Arabidopsis thaliana: one gene and its partners. The protein of the gene in region 2 interacts with the protein of the main gene of each other region in a pairwise test. Each region holds a gene or a part of one and is shown on either strand. Other genes may lie near its edges.

What was found.
Region 1: the proteins of AT5G55380 (region 2) and AT1G68380 interact in a protein complementation assay, tested with the Arabidopsis thaliana proteins (one large-scale study listed by BioGRID).
Region 3: the proteins of AT5G55380 (region 2) and AT1G30080 interact in a protein complementation assay, tested with the Arabidopsis thaliana proteins (one large-scale study listed by BioGRID).
Region 4: the proteins of AT5G55380 (region 2) and AT1G65985 interact in a protein complementation assay, tested with the Arabidopsis thaliana proteins (one large-scale study listed by BioGRID).

The regions. Positions count from the first base shown.
Region 1 is NC_003070.9:25,634,708-25,639,274, reverse strand, and holds AT1G68380 (Core-2/I-branching beta-1,6-N-acetylglucosaminyltransferase family protein), read left to right. Parts: upstream 1-1,812; 5' UTR 1,813-1,881; coding exon 1,882-2,421; intron 2,422-2,703; coding exon 2,704-3,342; 3' UTR 3,343-3,437; downstream 3,438-4,567.
Region 2 is NC_003076.8:22,445,805-22,450,551, forward strand, and holds AT5G55380 (MBOAT (membrane bound O-acyl transferase) family protein), read right to left. Parts: upstream 2,150-4,747; 5' UTR 2,068-2,149; coding exon 1,042-2,067; 3' UTR 820-1,041; downstream 1-819. Other genes in the region: AT5G55370 (MBOAT (membrane bound O-acyl transferase) family protein), read right to left, coding at 1-312; EDM2 (ENHANCED DOWNY MILDEW 2), read right to left, coding at 2,348-3,673, 3,770-3,833, 3,939-4,057, 4,161-4,232, 4,376-4,486, 4,649-4,690. UniProt on the Arabidopsis thaliana protein: Catalyzes the final step in the synthesis of long-chain linear esters (waxes).
Region 3 is NC_003070.9:10,549,956-10,555,822, reverse strand, and holds AT1G30080 (Glycosyl hydrolase superfamily protein), read left to right. Parts: upstream 1-2,527; 5' UTR 2,528-2,655; coding exon 2,656-2,728; intron 2,729-2,844; coding exon 2,845-3,187; intron 3,188-3,359; coding exon 3,360-4,083; coding exon of another isoform or gene 4,084-4,101; exon of another isoform or gene 4,102-4,505; coding exon 4,506-4,592; 3' UTR 4,593-4,968; downstream 4,969-5,867.
Region 4 is NC_003070.9:24,562,536-24,571,425, forward strand, and holds the start of AT1G65985 (transmembrane protein, putative (DUF247)), read right to left. Parts: upstream 6,432-8,890; 5' UTR 6,222-6,431; intron 6,085-6,221; exon of another isoform or gene 5,961-6,084; 5' UTR 5,936-5,960; coding exon 5,757-5,935; intron 3,849-5,756; coding exon 3,263-3,848; intron 2,064-3,262; coding exon 1,960-2,063; intron 627-1,959; coding exon 409-626; intron 327-408; coding exon 43-326; 3' UTR 1-42.

The DNA of each region.
Region 1 (4,567 bases), on a different chromosome or scaffold from region 2:
GTTGTAAAGTTCTCGGAAGCAGCCGTGATGGAAAACGCATATTCTCGTATCACTAGTGAACCCAAATGATCACATATTTGTTGTTGTTTTTAACTCAGCCATCATTACCATGCATGAGTCTCGTCTAACATGACGGTTCTGTAACCCAAATGGAATGGAATGCATTTTTCCTACACTACGTCATGACATTCCCAGGGTTGATGCCACTTGTTTGCACAATTATTGTCTCTTCACCCTACAGCTTTCAACAATGTGCAACTACACGTAAATTTGACCAATCAATTTATTTATCAATATTTATATAGTGCAACAAGTAATTTTCTTTTATTTGAACCAAACAAAAAAGTAATATTCTTTCAGTTTAGAATTCGCAAGGTTGACTTCAACTTAGTTTCATATCAACTATAATTATATTCTGTGTATATAGTTAATGTTTGAATACTCTAATGGCTTTGTATGAATGGCCTGATATAACTGTCCCTCGAAAATCTATTACTTAAGTAGAAAATACATAATATATAAAATCTTCAATTTAATTACATAGGTTAAATCCTTTTCACTCACATAGTCTCATGGATCATTTTTTTTTTTTTGCATCCATGGATCTACAGTTTTGTAAGAAGTAAAAGATAAACCATGAAAAAATCCTATATCTGAGTTACATGAGATTAATTTTCTAACAAAAGCTTTAAGCAAATAATGTTTGTCACTTTCATTTGATAAATAAATAAAAAAATACAAAAAGAGATATTTCGTCTAAGAGAAAACATACGAAACCAATTTCAATAGCTCAACTGGTAAAGACTATTAGACAAAGCATGTAGGTCGCCGTTCGATAAAAAAAATTATTTCCCACGTATGTAATTGTTTCTCCAGTTTACCTCTTGATTTAATGTCTACGCGGTTGAATATATTATCTGTAAGAGTTGGTACCATGTCTATTGCATACTATAAACATCGAGTAAATGAAATTCACATCTTTGTTCACTTAGGTTTTTAATAGCAATCTACACGATCCTGCTTTTATGGCTGCGTCATTTTCATTCTTGTAGATAAAGTCACTCCGGTAGTTATAAAAAAAAACAAATTAGGTTTAACTTGTAGTGCTATATATATATATATATATAAGCTTCATATTGTTTTCATTACGATCTTTTTTTTTATATATACAATGAAATTGTTGCAAGCGTTAAGCAATGTAAACGTGGAGGTTTCAAGGATGTCTTGTGAACGATTACCAGAAAATAATGTATATTATTGACAAGGTATGCAATAAACTTATGAGCAAAAACGAAAGAATGATAAATCATATAGGTATAAGGTATATTAATAAGTAAAAGCAATAAACTTAAACATGCGACCAAGAGATAAAAAAAAGTATATAGCGAAACTACAAGTAAAACATTTAAACCACCATCAATATTATATCCACTTATAACAAAGAAATATGATTTTGGGAAAACGAACTTAAAAAAATATATATTGCATGGACATATAGCGAAATAGTTCATTCAAAGACAAAGATTGGTTAGTCTACTCCTATCAATCTTTTTAAAAAAGTAAATTAATATTGATGTAAGGAAATTTGTAATTTTAGTTTAAAGAATTAATGCTAGTGAAAGAGTAGTAATAAGATGCTACGTATATAACCCAATTGACTTTGCTTGGATCATCAAAAAACTGCCTCAAAATGTTATATTCCATTGCGTGTGTATTTTTGTTTTTACGAGTTAATCACTCACGCCACAAGATCTCCACTTTTACTTGCTCTTCTCCACTTTTTAACCTCATTCCAACTAGGAAGTAAGATCCATGTATCTCTTTTTAACCCTTAAAACATTGGAAACAAGAATTCTCTTACACATGTATCGGTAGTTGGAAATGCCGACCCAAAAGGACCAAAACTCACCATTATCTCAAGTGATAGAGCTTCTCAAGAAACTACTCCACCATTTCCACAATCTCCTTTTGTATTTCTTCATCCTCTGGATCGGCGTGATAGTTGGAATCATTGTTTATCCCTCTCTACAAGGATTATCTTCGCCTTCTTCGTTAACCATCCAAAGTGTCTCCCAACTCTTCTTTGTAACCCCTCCTCCTCCTATTCTTTCTCCTTCATTTCAGGACAATGGGCTTGACATGTTTCTGATACCACTGAAGAACATCATGCACGATATGGAAGATAATGAACTTCTGTGGAGAGCTTCAATGGATCCTAAGATCAGGGATTACCCTTATCCTAGAATCCCGAAGGTTGCTTTCATGTTCTTGACTTGGGGACCTTTACCTTTGGCTCCTCTATGGGAAAGGTTCTTTCGAGGTCATGAAGGTCTTTTCACTATCTACGTTCACACCAATTCGTCTTACGACGAGTTCATGCCGCAAGACTCTGTGTTTTATGGCCGCCGTATTCCAAGCAAGGTCAGCTTCCCAAATTATTAAGAAATTTATTTCGATACATTAATAGGTTTGGAATTAACGTGATAAATAAAATTTATAAATATATTATAAATAATATATATATATATATATATATATATATAACGGATCGAAGTACATGAATACGATATTTTTCCTATCTTTTTTAGTAAATTACATAAAAATATAAGAATATTTGGTATCTTAAAAGAAAACATATTAATTATTACACTATAATACATAAAATAAAATCAATCCAATGTCATTAACTATAAACGTATGCAGAGAGTGGATTGGGGAAACGCAAACATGGTAGAAGCAGAACGAAGGTTATTAGCAAACGCTTTATTAGACATCAACAACGAACGTTTCATTCTTCTCTCCGAATCATGCATCCCTCTCTTCAACTTCTCCACAGTTTACTCTTTCCTCATCGACTCCACTCTAACCCACGTCGACTCCTACGACCTCACAATCGGTCGCGTCCGCTATGACCGCCGCATGTATCCTCACATCCGCATGCACCAATGGCGAAAAGGCTCTCAGTGGTTCGAGCTAGACCGAGCCATGGCCCTCGAGGTAGTCTCTGATACGTTCTACTGGCCAATCTTTAAAGCTTACTCTCGCTGCCCCGACGAGCACTATATCCCGACGCTACTCAACATGAGGCCGAGCCTTGGGTTGCGTAACGCGAATAGGACGCTTACTTGGACTGACTGGAGCAAGCGTAGGGCTCACCCGAGATTGTTTGGTGAGTGGGAGGTTAATGTGGAGTTCTTGGAGTGGCTAAGGATGAAGAGTGTTGGTGATTGTAAGAAAAATGGAGAAAATAAGATGAGACTTTGCTTTCTCTTTGCTCGCAAGTTTTCGTCGACTGCTTTGGATGAGTTACTCCGGTTAGCATCTATCGTCATGTATTTCTGATCACTCTCTTCCCCCTTCGTCCAAAAACAAAGATGCAATCGGTTTAACTACCAAATCTTCTTTAAGTAAGTGAAATATACAGTGTGTGCTTAACAAGTTACTTTCAGTACTAGGGATGTGAGATTAATCAAAGTCCTTGATAAAGTTAGGAACTAGCCTGTCATCAAGTTATAAACAGAAGATAACTTGAGAAACATTGAGAAAACACAAAAGCCTGACCCCCCAATCTCATTTGGTTTAGTCCTCCATTAGCATTTATGAGAAGGTATCCATTCATATTAGCACCTAACTCTGCAGACAATGTATACTCATATGGTAAGAACTTATAGAAGAGAAAAATAGGAAAAGAAAAAAAAGAACAAATTGCTACTAATAGGACTAAAAGTTTTGCCTAGACACCTGAATACTCAAAGAAGAATAAAGTCATGTCAGATATTTAATCTCCTTCTCCCATCTTCTTAAGCGAGATAGAAACTAAGCCACAAATGTTTAACCAAAGAAACACTTGAAAACACTACTACCACCAAGAAATGTGAAGAAGATCTTAATTAAGCAGCTCAATACACATCCATTTTTGGGCAACACTCAAAACGCAATTTATCAAGTTGTAGAAACAGAAACAAAGGCTAAACCACATATAAACAAGACCTTCTCAAGCCAAAAGTCGTAAATGTTCGACAAGAGAAACACTATTAGTAACAGAAATGTGAAGATTTTATCTTAATCAAGCATGTTCTAGTATGAGAAACACCTAAAAAGATAGCACAAAAAGCAAGAACCTAATGAGAAGCACCACCACCAATGGCAAAATTTTCTATACAATTGTTGATTTTTTCCCCATTTACATATTGATTATTCCATTTTGCTATATTTAGTTTTTTTTTTTTTTTTTTTTTATTCATTCAAATTCAATTTTACATATATTTATGTGACCCAAAACATAATTCCAATTCATTTTCTACAAAAATTCAATTTTTGACTTACCATATCACAAATGATATTATTAAAATAATATCAATAATAATATAATCACTCTTATAATAAAACTTCGTAATGGCCACAAAAAAATCAGTAATTTTCGATTTCCTTAAAAAGTCATCGAATTAAATATGAAAAATCAACGAGTTAGTTTGTCCAAAACGAATAAAATAAATTTAATAGTACCTTTTATTTTTTCGGAAACCCTTGTTTCGTTTTTTTTCCTCGATCTTCTTCTTCCCCAATC
Region 2 (4,747 bases):
GATTTTGATGGGGAAACAAGCGAAGCAGAAGAAACGGGTGAGATTTGAGGGAAGTGGGCTTAAAGGTTCTTGATCGAAAGCAAAGAGAAAGAGCTTGAAATTTGCGAGCCATGTGAAGAAGAAACCTGAGATGACGCAGAAGTGGACAGAAGAGAAGAAGAGAGGAAGAAGAAGAAAGATGATGAAGATGGGAAGAAGAGAGAGGAGACGAAGAACACCTTTGGAGATTTTTGATGAGATGTAGTAACAGTAAGATATGGAGATTAAGGCAGAGATCCAAACCTTGATTAGGTTTCTCAACTCTTCTTCCATCTTTTCTCTCTTGGTTCTGTTGGTTGCTAACTGTTTCATAATGATGCGACTTAAATAATGTTATCTACAACCAGAAGAACATGAATAATGCCAAAAACCATAACTGGTAATACGTTTCTAATTTGTCAAGTTTGCGTCATTTTTATTTTGGATCATTCAAAAACTATTTTTTTCAAAGAGGTAAAAGGATAGAACTTCAAAGTTAGAGGGTTTATTGTCTCATGTACTTTCATTTTTTTTATTTTTTAAACTTGTATTATTCAATTATTTAATGATTTGGAAATAACATATATGTATTTACCAGATTTTCAATTCGCAAGTAAAAGATAAATGAATCTTAGAAAAAACTCCATATTACATTTTCTTTTACATTATAAAATCAAGAAATCCAAATAGATTCGGAATGTTCGTATGACAAATCCAGACAAACGACGCGGCATGATTAAAGTAAGATTATAGATTTGGCAGAGTTTGTTTTATTTTAAAATTCTTCTAACAAATATTGCATTAATAATATACAAAGTAAGATGTTCATATTTCATCATTTGTTAGAACTTAGAAAACATTTACGCCATATTTATTGAATTTGTTGAGCTTGATTCAATTTAATAGCATGTCAAGAATGTTTCACACTAGACGACGTGTCTCACACTTCTATATACGTTTTCAAACAATGAAGAGAAACAAAGTTTGGTTGCTCTGCTACCGCTCTTTGCCTTTAATAAAGAATCATGAAGAAGTGAATAACTTGGCTAGGTCAAGAACCAATAAACATTCTCCAATCGCTTTCTCATGGACATTGTTTCTCAGCACTTGAGCGAGGAATAGCCAAACGCCCGTCACACTCACAAACGTCAGAACTACAAGACCAGAGACAGCCCGGTGCGGTGGCCTCAACCATTGTGTTCTCTTCACCGCTATCTCAGTGGCAGTGGCAGCACCATGCAACACAAAGAAACAAGTGACTTCCCAAGTTGGAGGCTTACGGATCATGTAAAAGTAGAGCAGCTCATGCATCAAGCCTGAGACAAAGAACGATGCCATGACCCCAGCAAACATAGCCCCGTCTGGACTGAGTATGCGTTTGAAAAAACGCTGAACCGGAATGTGAACGGTTGAGCGTAGGACGGCTGAAACCATGAGGTTCCATCTGCGGCTCCAGAAGTCTTGTAGGGAGGTAGCTAGGTAGGGCTCATTGAACACCGGCTCGATGTTACACCCAAGAAGAGTAGATACCACGGCTCCAACAAAGACCAAGACAAGTTCTACCTCAAGGTAAATATGGAGACAATAGAGAGCCAAGACAACAAACCGAGGCAAACCATCCCTGTATTCATAAACATGTAACAAGACGCCCAAGACCAAAATTTTAACAGCCAAAACCCATTTAGGCATAGGTTTAGGATGAAGATTTGGTATCGCATTTGGAGAAGGGTCTTGTCTGATTTTGATGGGTAAACAAGCGAAGCAGATGAAACGGGAGAGTTTTGGAGGAAGTGGGAACAAAGGTCCCTCATCAAAGGCAAATAGAAGAAGCTTAAAGTTTGCAAGCCATGAAAGAAAAAGAACTGAAATGGCGCAAAAGTGCACACAAGAGAGGAACAGAGGAAGAACAAGAAACAGAATGCAGACTGGAAGAATAGAGAGGAGACGAAGAACACCTTTGGAGAGTTTAGACGATATGTAATAACAGTAAGATAGAGAGATTAAAGCAGAGATCCATACCTCGATTAAGTTTCTAAACTTTTCTTCCATTTCTCAGATCTGTCGTTTGCTAATTCTGTGGAAGCAGCAGAGTTTGACGTGGTCCTGTATTAAAGAATTACCACAAAATATGACTCAAAAGTTTAAGACAATAGAAGCTGGCTTCTTTTTCTTTTATATTATTAAACAGCTAAAAGGCCCACTAGCTACACATGTGAGTGGCAGAGAAAAGTTATAGATTTCTTCTATTCTTCCTACACTTTCGTAGAGTGAGACACAAAAGATCAATCAAACTACTAATGTTGCAACTACAAGGATAATGAGTGCTGATCTAGTCATTAATCCAACCGCCAGATCGACTCATATAAGGGTAGTTCGGGTTCGGGCCAGGGGCAAAACCCCTTGGACTCATTTCGAAGTCACTAGGTGGTGGCGGTGGCAGTGGAAAGTCATGAGGATTTAAGAGATTATGTCCGCTAGGTTGCAATGGAGGCTGAGGTGGGAAAGAGCTCATCCTCTGGTAATTCATTTGATCGAAATGAGGCGCATAACGTTGTTGCAATGGGAATGCATTGTCCATCAGATTTGGAGGAGGAGGAGGAGCTAACATGGGGTCCAAGTGCCCACCGTACTGCTGTGGATATTCTCTTTGACCAATCCCTCTATCAAGGTCTGAATATCCTCGGAAATCAAACATCTCGTTAGGACCATTTCTCAATGGAAACTGATCCGGTAGGAAAGGAGGATCCGGCATTCTATAGCCTCCACCGAAACCACCATACTTAGCAGCAAGACCATCGTCGAAATGGGACAAACTTGCACCATAAGATGGTTCAAAAGCTTCAAACGGTTTCTGACCCGTATTTTCTGGCGATGGACGAACAGTGTAGATGTCCTCTCTAGAAGTTCTCACAGAGCTAGGCCTATCCCGACTCACTTCAGGTTTTCCAGTGCCCTGCACTTTACAACCATGTTCTCTAATATTCTTTCCCAAGTTACTTTTTGTCCTTGTTATTGCAGGCAGAGATGCTTCTACAGCCTCGTGAGATCTTTGAGGTGTTGTAGTGGAAATTGATGTGCAGACAGCATATATATCATCTGGGGAAGACCTAACAGGACTCTGCCAATCAGATGTCATTTCGGGAATTTTTACTTTGATGCTCTCTGGTGCTCTACTCAACTCTCCTTGATCCTCTTCCATGTCATTGCTCTTCCAATCCACATTATTAGAATCCATAGATTTCCCAAGCTTCCTACCAGAGTAGTCTTTGGTCTTTCCCTCCTTTTTCAGCTGACTTCTCCGTGACAAGTGATCTGACTGATGTACACGTGCTACAGTTTCTACTGTGTCGATTTTCTCAGAGACTAAGATTTTATTAACGCATTCAGCTACCTCAAGTTCATCCTTTTCCATAGGAATATCATCACACATGCCATCAGAAGCTCCAAGTGGATGCAAAGATGCGTTTGCTTCTTCTTCCACTATCTTTAACTTTGAGCTCCCCACATCCCTAGACAAATGGCAATGCTTCTCCGCTATTTTCTTGTGCTTGGCTGCAAAGTCGGACCGACTCCAGAGAGAAAGTGGCGGAGGAACAAGGTTCCAGTCTTCCAATTGCTTGTCTTCTTCATTGACAGAACCAGGCAGGTAAAATGACTGAAAGGAATAGGCAAGAAGCATAACATGTAACTGAAACTCAATAAAGGCTCAATCTCTCAAAAAGCAAAATCAAAAGAAAAGCGAAAGATTTACATTTCCAGATAGGAACGTCTTATCCTCCCATATAAGCACATATGATGACTTCTTTTTATCTAACCTGTTGAGAAAAGTGATAGATTTAACAAGAGAGAGAGAGAGGAGTCGATATATTAGTGTTATGGAATGGTACAGAGGAGCAGATGAGATAGATGGAAACTGAAACCTTTCAGTCTCGGGAGGAACAATGAGAATGAGAATCTTTGGGCGGAACTCAAGAGCCTTGGTAATAAACTTGTTTGCAAGAGAAGCATTGACTCCAAATGGTGGATTTAGCCCCATAATCTACTCATAATTCCAAAAATATAAACAGTCAGATACTACTCAAACTATTTCAATGACACTGGAGCTTACACAAAGTTCATACTAAAGGAAATTTGTGTCTTACCAGCTTTGAACCTGGTTCCAACTCATCTTTACTTACAGTCATCCAATCCTTTCTCTCAAAATTGAAATTATTCTGAAAGTAAGATAGCTAATCAATGAGTAATCCTAGAAGACTGATGAATAGAACACACCACGATCTAACATATGTTGCTTCCGTATCAGTGATAAGACTTTACAACTTACGACAATAGTAGGCACACACACACAAGTCATTACCTTCGCTGGAAAAAGATCGTAATTTTTATATAAGCACTTCTTCCCCGTTTCTTCAAGCTTCGCGTTCATCAGACAGCTAAAGTCATTAGAACCACAACAGAAGTCGACAATCTGTTGGAAGAGATCCCAGAAACCAGACATCATTGTTTATGCACAAGACATTGATCATTATACTAACAAGATCATACTTCAGAATATAAGAAAAAAACTTAAGAGAGGTAAACAAAATAATAAAATTAAACCCAACAGATAACGTTTGTGAGCAAATCTCACCATATCACCATCATCTGCATACCAATGCAGCCTATCAACAATCTGCACAAAAAGTAATAATAGGTCTGGTCAGGTACAAGCTTCAGATACAGGAGTTAA
Region 3 (5,867 bases), on a different chromosome or scaffold from region 2:
GCAAGAAAAAATAGATGAGTTTTCTTCTTACTTAAGAGAAATAAATCAATATAAGATTTTTCTGCTTACATAAGAGAAGTAAAATCATTGTAAGAGACTTTAAAAGTTATATATGTTCAAATTTGTTGCATGAAATCTATATTTAAGGAAAAATTTTTTTGACTAATTGAAAAGAAAAACTCGGCTTGGATATAACTATTGATCATGGTAAATTCTAAGCGATCCTCGTTGTTAATCAAGCAATTCTCTTACTGTTATAACATTAAGAATAAGCTATAAGCATCGGGATCCAAAATTTCAGACACAGCTAACAAATTGCTTAGTTCACGCCTAAATATTCGATTAGCCACGAGATATAACAACATTTTTCTTTTTAAAACACGAGATTTAACAATATATGTTAATTTTAATTTATAACCTTTATTACATTAGAATCTCGAGTTAAGATTGTTGAATCAGATCGGAGGAATCTAAGATGTCATAAAGCGCACCACATGCATCAGCTCATTTGTCTTATTCCAAAACAAGTAAGTATACACAGGCATATTCATATGTTGTATATTAATGTATATATGTAGGATGTAACAAATAAACAAGTATCGTTATAGTGAAATTCATCTTCCAAAAGTTACTAGATTCTTGTTTAGCAAAAACAAAAAAGTTACTAGATTCTTGGGTTGGTTACGAAAAAAATAAAATTGGGTCACTTTTGTTGCATCATTTCATAAAGCAGGCTACTTTACATATGTTTTCAGATCTCTATTCCATTTAATATATTTGAAATTTTCAGAAATTAATCAATATCCGATATACAGTATAACCTCTATTTGGGACTGCAAAATTTTATTAATTTAGAGAGGTATTAATTTATTGATAAATTAATATTTATTAATTTATAGAGAGATTTTCTTAATTTGGTAACTTTTTAAAAAAATTTATAAGATTTTTTTCATTATAAAAAATATATTTCTAGAACCAGTTACAAATAAAACATAATAATAATGTCTAGAAAACATTATTAAACAAATAACAAAAGTTTTGGTATAGTAAAATATGAAAACTATAATCAAACAAATAACAAATATGAATTTAAACAAAAAATTATTATAAATATATTTTAAAGAAATTTTTTACATATAATATATATATATAGTTGATATATTTATACAATTATTAATTTATGATATCGATGAGACCATATATTTACATAGAACTTTCCAAAAAATTATTATCTTATTAATTTATCGATTTGTGTCATTTTTTACACTAGTCCCAACTCGGGACCGGAAGAATTTATTAATTTATAAAGGTTATTAATTTATAGAGGTTATACTGTAGTAAGAAGTCCGTTCTATAAGAAAAGTAACAACCCAAACTTCCAAAAATCTGTACAAAATGAAGTTGAATTACAATTATCACCTGGTGTATAGTTAGAGCTTTTATTGTTTTAATATCAAACTGAAAGAAAAAAAAAATTGTTTCAGACAACTAAATTATTGGCTAGGGCCAATTAGGCTGTAAATTTACATATCAACTTTGATTAACTTTTCTTTTTGTAAACTTGTTTAAAACCGTTTTTTTCCATTGATTGATTAATCGAGTAATTAATTTATTTTATTTCATCTAAAACATAAATAATGAACCGTTGTGCAACCTAATTTTTTTTGTGATCGAGCGGGTTGACTAGATGAGTTAGGTTGAATTTAGAAATATTTACTTTTACATGTAAGCTAACGGTATATAAATTCTGAATTGAAACGTAGGATCAGTTTTAAATATGCGACTAAACTCCGTTGAATATCAAATATAGGATTAACTGAGGGTCATACTATAATTTCACGTGAAATACAATTCTAACAATCGTTACAATGTTTTTTAAAAGAGCTTTTATTTCACAAGATGCAAATTGCAATACTATATAAATATAATAAACTGAAGATAAGCGCACTATCCTTCTTATCATTATGATGGTGTGATTTCTACTCTTTACGTTCCATTTTTTTGGTTCACCCAACTACCAAATTTGGGATCCTCCAAATTCTATGCCAAAGACATAATGTTTTTTTTTTCTTTGTGTTTAATAGACATATTGTTAAGATTAAAAACCTATTATAGTGGGCAATTCAATTTTTCCCACCTTTGCCTTTGTCTGAAGAAAGTGTCTTCTTTTAGGCCACTTTTTCATTTTTTTTTTTTTTTGGACTGACATAGTTGGCAATGTGTTGGAAAGAGACAATCTAAGATGTCATATTTTTTTCTTCTTGGGTCCAAAATGTTTTATGAAACCCATGTTGCCTCACAAAGAATGTTTTTGGCAAACACTATCTATTTTTACAATAGACTTCCATAAGATAAACCTATTGCCAAACCTACTCCCATTACAAAACTAACGAGTATAAATTTAAATAACTTATTGAATTATTTTTGGAATTAATCATATTGTCACTTTTATTGTAGAAACCCTATGTCTCACCATAAAACAAAGGCAGGCAAAGTAAAGTATTATCTCTAAATTATAAATTAATAATTATTCGTCGCCTACTTGGTCCCATTTCTCAATTCTTCATCTCTATATCTATCCCCACATTTCATTGCATTGATTCTCTTACAAGCACTTTCTCCCTCAGTCTTTATCTCCCTCTTTCTCTCTTCTCCATGTCTAACATGTTTAGCAGAATTGCCATGACCAACTCTATCGTTCTTCTTCTATTTTCCTTGACTTTCTTAGGTATCGTTTTTGAATAATTGCTTATTTCTGTCTACCAACAAACAAAATTCATTATCTCAATTTCAGTTTGTCATTACACTTTAATTATTTAAATTTCTCTTACATTTTTTTCACAGAACATGGATTGTTGTTTCAAAGGGTCTCCTCTCTTGGCATCAACTATGGTCAAGTCGGCGACAATCTTCCTCCACCGGACAAAGTTCTACAACTCTTGAGTTCACTCCATATCAATAAGACAAGAATCTATGACACAAACCCTCGAGTGTTAACCTCATTTGCCAATTCCAATATCGAGCTCTTTGTCACCGTCGAAAATGAAATGCTTCCCAGCTTAGTAGACCCTCAACAAGCTCTCCAATGGGTCACTACCCGTATCAAACCCTACTTTCCGGCCACCAAGATCGGTGGTATCGCCGTCGGCAACGAACTATACACTGACGATGACTCAAGCCTTATAGGGTTTGTTACATACATCCCCTCATTCCTATAAATTGTTATCCTTTTCAAATCTTGGTCCATTACAAATATGCCCTACTAACCAAATCATGGTAGTCATGTGGGTATCATCCTGAGATCCTCTAGTTCAAAAAAAGAAGAAAGTATTCAACCTCGTTATTGCTATGATTCGCAGGTATCTTATGCCTGCAATGATGAGCATTCATGGGGCTTTGGTCCAAACCGGACTAGACAAGTACATTCAAGTATCGACTCCGAACTCACTATCCGTCCTTCAAGAATCTTACCCTCCATCCGCCGGATGTTTTAGGCCGGAAGTAGCTGGCGTAATGACACAGCTACTAGGTTTCTTGCGTAACACGAATTCCCCCTTCTGGATCAACGCTTACCCTTACTTCGCTTACAAGGATTCCCCAACAAAGATCCCATTAGACTACGTCCTCTTCAACCCTAACCCTGGAATGGTTGACCCCTATACCAAGTACCGCTATGACAACATGCTCTACGCTCAAGTAGACGCTGTGATCTTTGCCATGGCGAGGCTTGGCTTCAAAGACATCGAAGTTGGGGTCTCGGAGACTGGATGGCCGTCTAAAGGCGATGGAGATGAGGTTGGAGCCACTGTGGCCAACGCAGCCGTTTATAACAAAAATATTCTAAGGAGACAACTTCAAAATGAAGGAACGCCATTGAGACCAAACTTGAGTTTTGATGTTTATCTATTTGCTCTTTTCAATGAAGACCTTAAACCAGGACCAACCTCTGAGAGGAATTATGGATTGTATCAGCCTGATGAGACCATGACTTACAATGTAGGTTTATTATCGTCGTCATCATTAACATCAACATCAACTACTTCTTCAACTTCTATTATTTCCCTCACTTCCTCTGCCTCCACGGTATGTATCAACATTTAACTTTACTTGCTCTGTTTCTACTAGATCTCTTACTTCCATATTTCTTTCTTTTTAATCTTTATATAGCACATTAAATCCCTTGAAAAAAGCTTTGATTGAGAAACATTTTTAAAACAAATTCTGACCTGTTGTCTAAAAAAGAAGAGAATTGTGACGTTTCTTTCTTCTAATTGTGACGTTTTATACTTGAAAAGTTCGGCTTTTCTAGAACATATTCTTACCAAACATATTTATTTTAACATATTTCTTGATTAATAGCGATAAAGTATACATTTTTTTTGGAGCGATATGATTAGTACATGATATTTATGATTATCCTCACCATCTGATTTTTAGATACATATTAGTTAATTAAAAATTTGCGGTCTTAATTATTGCTTATTATGATATTTTAATTTAAACAGGCTTTAAAGAAGGGAAAGCAACGGTTGATGTATTGGACATGCGTTTATTTGTTGGCCATTCACATGCTAATTAGAAGATCGTACTAGAAGCAAAAACAAATTGAGAGAGCTTCTAAGTGTAAATAGAGAGTCCACTAATGCGGTCCAATTTTTCAACGAGAAGAATTAAATTATTCTCGAAAGTGTCTCAGATGATTCTTTAAAAGGGGAAAAAAACACTCAGAAAAATTGAGAAGGGAATGCAGTACTGCAAAGCGAATCCTATGTATAAAAAACTGACGATTCATATTATAGAACTTTATTTGTATTTGTCTTACTAACGTGTTAATTACTTTCGTTGTCTAAATAAAAAGTGACTAAAATTAATCATCAACTGATAAGGTATACAATAATGATTCGTATACAATAATGATTCATGAATCATATAAGAACGATCGTGTTTATTGTTTAAATCCAAAGGATACAATTTCATTTGAGGCATTTTAGTAACCACATTCATTGCATAATTTCATTTAAAATGTTTGATTTCACATTATGTACTACATATGAATCATATTTCAGAAAGCTAAAGAAATTACTCTAGATATAAAGAAGACCCCATATAGTACTACTTTTACGAGAAGCATAGAATATAATAATAATTATTACTAAGCAGAAAATATTGTCATTTTCAACGCTCCAAATATTACTTTAAAGTACATGATATATAATGTTATCATCAGATATCGTTTAACAGAAACAGAAAAAAAGAAAGATGATATCATATATTTTATATAGAAATTTATTGATTGGTCACACCGAAGGTGAAGGCTCTTTTATCTTTTACCTTTTATCTTTTGGACGTGGAATCCATAAACCTTAGACATACGATACCTTCCTTTTCCATCTCACCGTCAACATTCGATATTTTAATATATTGTCTGCTCTTACACATGCATGCATTATATCTGCATGTATATGTGGTATGGCTTCGTACGTGCACACACATGACACTACTCATACATGCATACATGACACATCTTACATGTATGAATATGTGTATATGTCATATGTGTGGTGGATACTCATTAATTCACCAATTGATGTAAAAGAGGAATGCTCCATTTTTCTAACGGGAGAGAAAGAAGAAGTTAAAAATTATCAAAACAAAACTAAAGTTTATTTATTAGGAGGAAGCATATAAATTGATATGGACGGTTCCAACTTTATTCCACGACCATGTTTTAAGTCGTCAGCATTTTGACAATAGTCATTGGCCGTCCCTTTTCAAAGGAGCTTTCTCTCTTTTTATAAATTTTCTATTTTTCTACTTTTTTCTCTGGATTCAATTGTTACTTATTTGTTTAATACAACATGTTTACA
Region 4 (8,890 bases), on a different chromosome or scaffold from region 2:
TTTTTTTTTTTGTTTTTGTATGAATTATAAAAGCATATATAGTTACTTGAAGCTTTCGTAAGCTTGGATGACAGAAGCCACCGTCCCAACCAGAGTCAAAAGCAAGAGAAGCACGGCGGCTAAAGTAGCTGTGCCGGTCCACAAGTCGCTGAAGTAAACTTTTCTGAGGGTGGCCCAACACCTCTTTCTTCGAGATTTATAGTGAGCTTTGAGATCTATGGCTATGTCATAGTATTGGGAGGTGTATCCTTCGTACACACCAACCTTTAACTTGTTCACCATGTCCACCACCAAGCTTGGCCGACCCATATTGTTCATTACCACCCCTATGTTCCAGCAACACATGCATATTTTTCATTCATATATGTTAATTAATAGTTAAATGTATTGATTTAGTGATGTTTGTACCTTTTTCGCTGAGTAGCTCGACGTCTCTGTCGGAAACTATCAGGGCATTTAAGAATTGTATGTAGTGCGAGGTAAAGGGTATTATGCCATGCTGGCACTGCTCAAATGCAATTACATTTCTTAGAATCATATCTGTCCTATCATTAGCCCAGAAACTCGGCATCGATAAGCAACCTTTCTTTAACTCCACATGCAATGAAACACCTTCAACCCTCTCTCTGTAGGAGGAGGCACAACAAATACGTTTCCATCTTATATATATACATGTGACTATGAAAATAGGGATGCAAAAAGTTTAATCATTTATATATGTTTTGTCTTTTGGCCCAGTTTCTCTTATTTATGTAAAAGTGTAAAAATCTGTTTCATTGCCAACATATGGAGGATAAGTATAAATACATATGTTCCTAGTTACATAACATAAATCAAATAACAAAATTAGCTCTACGTTTCATACATCCAAAATATTTGATCGCATCTTTTTTATTTAGTATATTCTTTTTTTGGTCATATTACATAGTATATATATAACTATATTGATCATTTATTCAAATATATATTATTTGTAGTATTAGTTTTGTAAACTCAAAATATCTGTCTGCATTCTTTAGCTCTGTAGTATTCATGTATATACTTTGCTATCTATATCATTATCTTGAATTTCCTAAATAACAGTTAGTTTAGGTTAATTATGATTCTTTTTCATCCGAGGATTATCTCTCTTTAACATAACAAAATAGAAAATGTTGCATCTTTTTCATAATATTTTGTTGAATATATTTATAATTTTTTTAAGAAACTGAAATTTTTTGTATACTCATTATAAACTTTCGTTTAATAATTTTTTTACTAATGATCGCATGGTTCACCATAATATATTATTTTATAATATGAATCTTAATAAATGTTTATGAGGGTTATGTTGTTTAATCATATTGTTTGTAAAATATATCTTCATATATTATTAGGAAACAAATTTCTTTTAGAGTTGTCTCAACTTATTATGACTTTTCGGTTGATATCTGTTTTCACTTTAAAGGTTTTTAAAATCTTTTTCCTAAGTCCCAATGTATATATGTTTCGAGTGGAGATGTACGATTCAAGTGCGGATAAGGTATGGAGCGAGTTAAATAGTAACAAAATATATACATTTATATAATGTAAATATTTTTTGTTCTATTGAAACTGCATCGTACTGTGTGGTTTCGTCACCATTCGAAGCCATATAGTATTTTTAATTGAAGTATTAATTTAGAATTCCACATGAATACTGATCTTATATTTTAAAATTTTAGTGTTTACATGACAACCCACAACTTTTTTCAACCATTAGGAATTCTAATACTAAGATTGCGATAAAATTTCAAAAATGTATTTTCTCTATAACTTTTTTTAATCAAAAATACCCTTAAAATATGAAATTTATTCAAATGTGTGTAATTTTGTAAAAATTATATACAAACTACCTTTATACGTGTGTAAAATCTAAAAAACTATGATCTATCCAAATCTAATTTCTATTGTCACACTTTTTTAAATGATGCTATTTACCTTTTATTTGTTGGTAATTTCGTAAGTTCAGAGTCAGACTTGTCTCGCGTAATCTTTATGTCAAGTTTCTCGTCTTGTTTTGAGAGATCTAAATAATCGTATGACTGAAAAGAAGAAACGTTCTTGTCAAAACTATTTCAAAGCTTCATACCAAAAATATATATACATATTTCAAAGCTAGTTTAATAACAATCTATAATCCAAAGATAAAATAAACAATTAGACACATAAAATTCATATAGATGGAGATGAAAAATGATGTTTGTTTTTTTATAATTTAACAGAGCATTTGAATGAATTAGTTGGATGAATTATCTGAATATCAAACTCATTTGGATGAACTTATTTGGACCATTTGGATGGAGATAATTCATTCAAAAATAATAAATGATAAATATACCCTTTTTTACACTCATATATTAAATAATATCAATTTTCTATAGATTTCTTATTTAATATTTTCAAATCACATATTTGCATCCAAAAAGACTCTAAAATCGTGAAATCACTGTTTATTAATTTCTGTCAAAATCATAAAATTATTTTTCCCCGCCAAAAAAGAAAAATCATTTTTCCCGCCAAAACTGTAAAATCATTTTTTCTGCCAAAACCATAAAATTATTTTTTCCGTCAAACCGTAAAATCAATTTTTCTCTAAATCATGGTTTCACGCCAAAATCGCACAATCATATTTTTCGCCAAAGCCACTAAATTGTTTTTTCGTCAACACCGCAAAAACATATTTTCCGGCAAAATCCATAAAATTATATTTCCCGCCAAAACCAAAAAATTATTTTTTTCCCCACCAAAACTGCAAAACCTTTTTTCCCGCCAAAATTATTTTTTCTTGCCAAAACAGCAAAATATGATATGTTTGGTATTGATATTTGGTAATGATGTTGGATAATTGTTAAAATGAAAGCATGAATATTTTAGCCATTTTTATTTAGATAAGTATATAGATGAAATATAAAATGATCAAGCAAACAAAAATCTATTTAAATGCATTATTTAGATGAACTACCAAAAGATTAAACAAACATCATTCAAATAGATCATCCAAATGGATAATTTAGGTGGATCATTGGATGAAAATGCCAAATGAGGAAACAATCAGGGCAAAGTCGTTTTGTTAGACCTAGGCTTTTTTTTGTTTTGTTAAATAAACCTAGGATATTTCTAAACTAAATAAATATGTGTATGACAGTGAAAAGCTCAAATAGCAAGGATTTTTAACTCCAAGCAAAAACGAACCAAAGGCTTATCAGAAACGAAGATATAGCCGTAATCGAAGATCATTTACCTTGAAATTAACTCCTGCATTTGATAGGTTTTCAGCGTTCCGCAACTCTGTGATAGACCATTTAACGCGATTCAGTGAGTACTCTCGTGGAGGAATGTAGTCAAGCGATTCTTTATAAACACACCGGTACATGTCTGTCAAATGCATGAAGTTTTTCTTCTCTTCGATCTTTAGGCCAAAACAGCGCAAGATGAAACTGTCAAGGGTGTGTGAATCCAAATACTTCGTCATACTGAAACTGAACAAGCTATCCAAAATGAAATAGGGAAGCTGATTCTCGAGCAAGAGTAAATCATTCATAACGATTGCAAAGTCTAAATTTCTGTCATCTGAATGTATTCGATCAAATCCAGAAAGTCTGATAATTAACTCCATAATGAAAATCGAATCCTGAAGGATAAGGTCTACGAATAATTCAGATGGTATCCATTCAGTTGATTCTTCATAGCAATTCCGAATATTTTTTTCTTCGGTTTGTATGGTTTTCCTCATTTCCTCAATAGTATCTTCCCCGACTCTTTTGGTGAAAGATTCGAAGTACGTCTTCTTTGTGACTTCCATCTTGATATAATCTTTTTTAAGATGCCTGGTAAAAATAAATCGACATATTAAACTTTAATTATATAAATGATCATATTCCAGTACGCCACTAAACCAAAATTAGGAACAAGTTGTGAAACTTGGTGTTTTTATCTAAAAAATAATTAACAATGAATAATATGACCGATAATTTGATATAGTTTTCAATATTTGAATTTGCTTTATTTATTTTTTGATCAAATTATTTTTATCAATGGGTTGTCGATAGGGTTTTATGTTCATATTTATTTATTTTAGTTTTATAACCAAAGGGTGATCTGGGTTTCTACCCTCCGAGTGAGTAACTGAGTATATCCGTTGAGTCGGCTACTCACTAATTTTTCTGGTGGTTTAAATTATGACACAATTTCAACTGATAAAAGGTTATTTCCCGGTTAAAAGGAAACTTAGTGCATAATGTTTTAAAGCATAATTGAGAAAACTGAGTTAAGAGTTTATCCTTGTTGCCTTAATTCAAACCAAACTTGAAAGCTTCGTGCATACTTCAAATCTCCTTTATTCCGAATTCTGCTTAACCGGTTTCAAATCAAATAGTTTTTTTTGTCAAGCAAAAGAAAGAAAAAACATTTAATTTGAAACGAATTGTGAAGGAGATTTGAAGTATGCATGAGAATCATTTTATTACTAACGTAATTTAGAATGAATGGAATCAACAGACACCGGTAACGATTTGTTATATGTATATTCCATCCATTTAAATTGAAATGAGGTTTCTAAGAGTAGGTGTGATTCGCGTTCAGGTTATTAGGCCATCTCAACATGATTGTAGTAATTAAGGATAAAACGAAAGACATGCATATTGTAGTTTCAAATATTCAACACTTGTCTCCATTAACTTCCGTTTGAAAACTTCTGAAAAAAATATTGGCGGATTCTGAAGCTAAACTTCTTCTAAACTTTGTTTTAAAAAAGAAAGACTTCAATAATTAACATTTTTAAAAAAGAATATCCAAAAAATGCGAAAAGAAGTATTATGAATACCATAATATTTAGTGACAAAGTTTTTTCTAAGAAATTTAGAAGATTTCCTATATATAAATGACACAAAAATATTTTCTAACAGTTTATAAAATATTATGGTATTTACTTTGTTACGAATTTTATGGTATTTGTTGTAAAGAAAAATATGTGATATCCTTTGGAATATTCCTTAGGAAAACAAAAACAGAAACAGAAATAACCAAAATATATAATTCGAGGAAGTCCTTTTTTTTTTTTTTGAGCAAAATTCTAGGAAGTATGTATGCTTTATAATTTAATAGATCTGGATTTTCCAGATCTCAGAAACAGCTTCTCAGATCTGAATATGCTAATTCCCCGAATTTGATCTGAATCCGAAGAAAATAGCGAAACAAAGTATTAAATAGAATATAATCTGATTGATTTCATAAACATTTGAGAACATTTTCTAACATATTTTTCATGAACATTATTAAAGATACTCCAAGTTTTTAAAATGAAGTTTATTTTTTGTGATATTTTCAGGTACTCATCAGTTTATTATATAATATACAGATTTTTTTTTTCGACATATAATATTTAGATATATCTAATACATATATTAAAAAAAATATATATATCAAAATGGATCCAACTTATCCGGATCTAGATTCCCGAAAATCTGAGTCCTAACCTGTTTTTTTTTTTTTTACTAACCTGTTTTTGAATTGGATCGGATCAAATTCAAATATTAGGTCAAATCGTAATTGAGATGATAGCTGTATTTGTTGATAAATTTTTGAGTTCTTTTACATTTTAATATTATTTTAATATATTATCAAGAAAATATAAGCATTTGCCCAAAAAAAAAAGGAAATCAAGAAAATATTGACGATATTGTACATATATTTATCGTCATATATATTCGTCTGTGTGTGTAATGTGTTTGACGTACCATGGATTGCTACTTGTTTCAGCGCCGTCCTTAGCAGTTGATTTGAGAGAACGATGAAGTGGGCCAATGACGACCACCTTGGGTGTATAGGCTTCAGGTTTCACTACTCGCATCCGATTTGGTACTCTATAAATGCAGGGTTCCTGAACTTTTTCATCCAAATCTATATGAACTTCCATCTTGGATTAGTCCAAGGACTTTTTTCTGTTTTGCACAAACAAATAAAAAGTTGAAGACTCGAGTATAATATATTCTTAGATCTATTTCTAAACCGAGATGGGTTCTATTTGAAAATTGGTTTCAATTATTATCTTTGTTCACATCATGCATGCTTATAGATAAATATATATATATATATAAATATATATATATATATATATATATATAAATATATATATATATATATATATATATATATATATATATATATCAATTAAAGACATAACTATAAGGAAGAAAGCTTACTGGTAATATGGATGAGCTATGGGAAGAAGATCCGTCTCTTTTAAACCCTTTAACGATTTTTCTTGTTTAGAAAATTTGACAGAGAGGGGGTATTTCAGTATTATGAAAATTTGTTCGAAGTAGATGATCATATATAAGTCAATGAATAACATGGTACAACTTGTAGTTATAAAAAGAGAGATTTCTTTAAAAGCAGGAAGATGTGTCTTTTAGTATTGATAAAAATTTTTGACAGAGAGCGAACCTATAAGTCAATGAATAAAAATATAAAAATAGTACAACTTGTAGTTATAAAAATATATAATACGGAATACTTAATAATTCGTATGGGCCTCAAATTTTTAATGGTCCCACTCTGTTAATAACAATGATCTCCAAGTATTAATACAGTAAAACATCTAGAACTCGCAATAATTTTTGTTAGAATTCGTCTATAATATTTTTACTTCATTAAAATTTGTTGGTGTTGTCTTCTACACACGATACTTGCTTTCTCACTTGTACTTAATTGTAGAAAATTAATATTTACAACAAAAAAAAACTTATTTTAATTAGAAATTTTATTTTAAACTAAGAAATTAGACAAATTTTTCTACAAATTAATAAAATATATAAATCCAGATTTTATTAATTTATAAAAGTTTTTCTGGTTTTTTTTATTAAAACATGAAAATAGTACAACTCATCCTAATTGTTACTTTATGAAAATAGAATAAGTCATTGTTGCCATATTTCGCCATGATAATACAAGCCTAGATTAGCTTGGTAAACCTCGACTTAATTTTATGATAAATACAGTTTTGGCAAAAAAAAGAAAGAATAAACTGCAGAAATATTATTTTTAGTTTTTTACTCGGTAATACATCAACTGAACAGAGGTAAATATTGAATAAAAAAATATAAAGTTGTGCTAAAGAGGTTATCCAACAAGGTAATCATACCCTTTGTGTTGCGAAAGGAAATGAGAATGTGAACACGACTTTAATGACAATTAATGATGACCATTTTCAATAATTTTCTTCATGAGCTAATTAGATAATGAAGTAGTTTTAAGAAAAAAAAAAAAGTAAATGAAGTAGTTGGAACGTAGCTTCCTTACATTAACTCTTCTGGACTTTTAATTATATATATATATATATATATATATATTTATATATGGATTCGTGCTCGCAGGCTCACAGCATCAAGTTAATACTTAATACCGTTGACTAGTTAGAAGAAGAAAAACACCCATCGTGCGTTTTTTTGTGTGTGGCCAGGTCATACTACTATTGCTAAAACATTAGTAATCGATAAATAAGACTATTTACTTAACTAATAATAATACTATAATAGATAACCAACCAAAATTATACTTTCATGTTTCTCAATACCCAAGCTTTCAGGCCAGGGTTTAAATTTCGAGCTGAAAAGCTTTTGTTTCAAACAAAGGATTTCGATTTCGTGTCATTGTTTAGATATCGTGTTGAGATTCACTTCGGGTTTATCTTTCGGGTTGGGCATTAGTTACGAAGTTGGCTTAATTTAATTTTAAATTTAAAACGCGTTTTAGACTAGATTTAACAAAAACCTCAAAATCTAAACACCAAGCGGTTGCCGATCGATTTTAAAATATTGTAGTTCTGGATTGGAAAAGTATGTTTTTTTTGTGTAGTTCCTTAAAGAAGTCTAAGTTTTATGTGGTTGGAACTAGAACCAATATGAAAAACATACGGAGTACTCATCTTTGTTGTTCGGATTTTATTAAGACCAATATGACCAAAAACAGTCACTGTGGTGCCATTTTTTAGTAGATTAATGGTCCTTTTCAAATGCTTGAAGTTTGTTAACATTGGAGTCTGCTATTAATGGTCAATTTTGGGAATTGATACCTCAGGTTTAGTGAACTCAAGAATAAGGAAAAATAGTATACTACGGTTTCTTTGAACCGTAGCTTCACCATCGGTTTCTCTAACTGTCGCCTTAACCAAAATGAGACTTTGACTACAACATATAGTCCCAAACAATAATCAAAGATAATTCTCTCTTTTTTCTTTTTTTCAAGATAATTCTCTTCGTGAAAACTCTCTGATGCTTTGTTCAAAAAAGTAGACAACAAGGCTAGAGGACCAAGAATGTTTTGGTACCATGACAAAAAACCACAAAATTAAGCAACATCTAACTTTCTATAGTAATAATAATATATAAGCATAACATTTCTTTACAAACACATTTTAAAATAATCATACATAAATGAAAAAAAAAAAATCAGTCATATCAAATCTGTTGAGAAATTGAGTAGTGGGAGGGTAATTAAAAAATAATAATCACTGCTTATTCACATTTTATGGAGAAGAGAAGAACCAAATCAAATGGTTCCAAGCATGAGTAAGAAACCATAGGAAATGCAAACCATGTATCCAAAGAAGAACAAGATTTGCATTTACCCCGATTAGTCGTTCCACGCATACCCGTAGTACAAGCAAAAAGCGCACATTAGCAATCCAGTTGATCCACCACAGACGAGCAATCTCCACCACCATATGGTCTTCAGATGATAGTTGGAAAATATGTAAATGCAACTGTGAAATTGACCAGAAGGATGAAGATGATGAAGAGAATGCTACAGGTTGTATATAATTTGTACTTAAATCTTTGATCACCCTCCATTTCGTAACAATTAAAAAAAA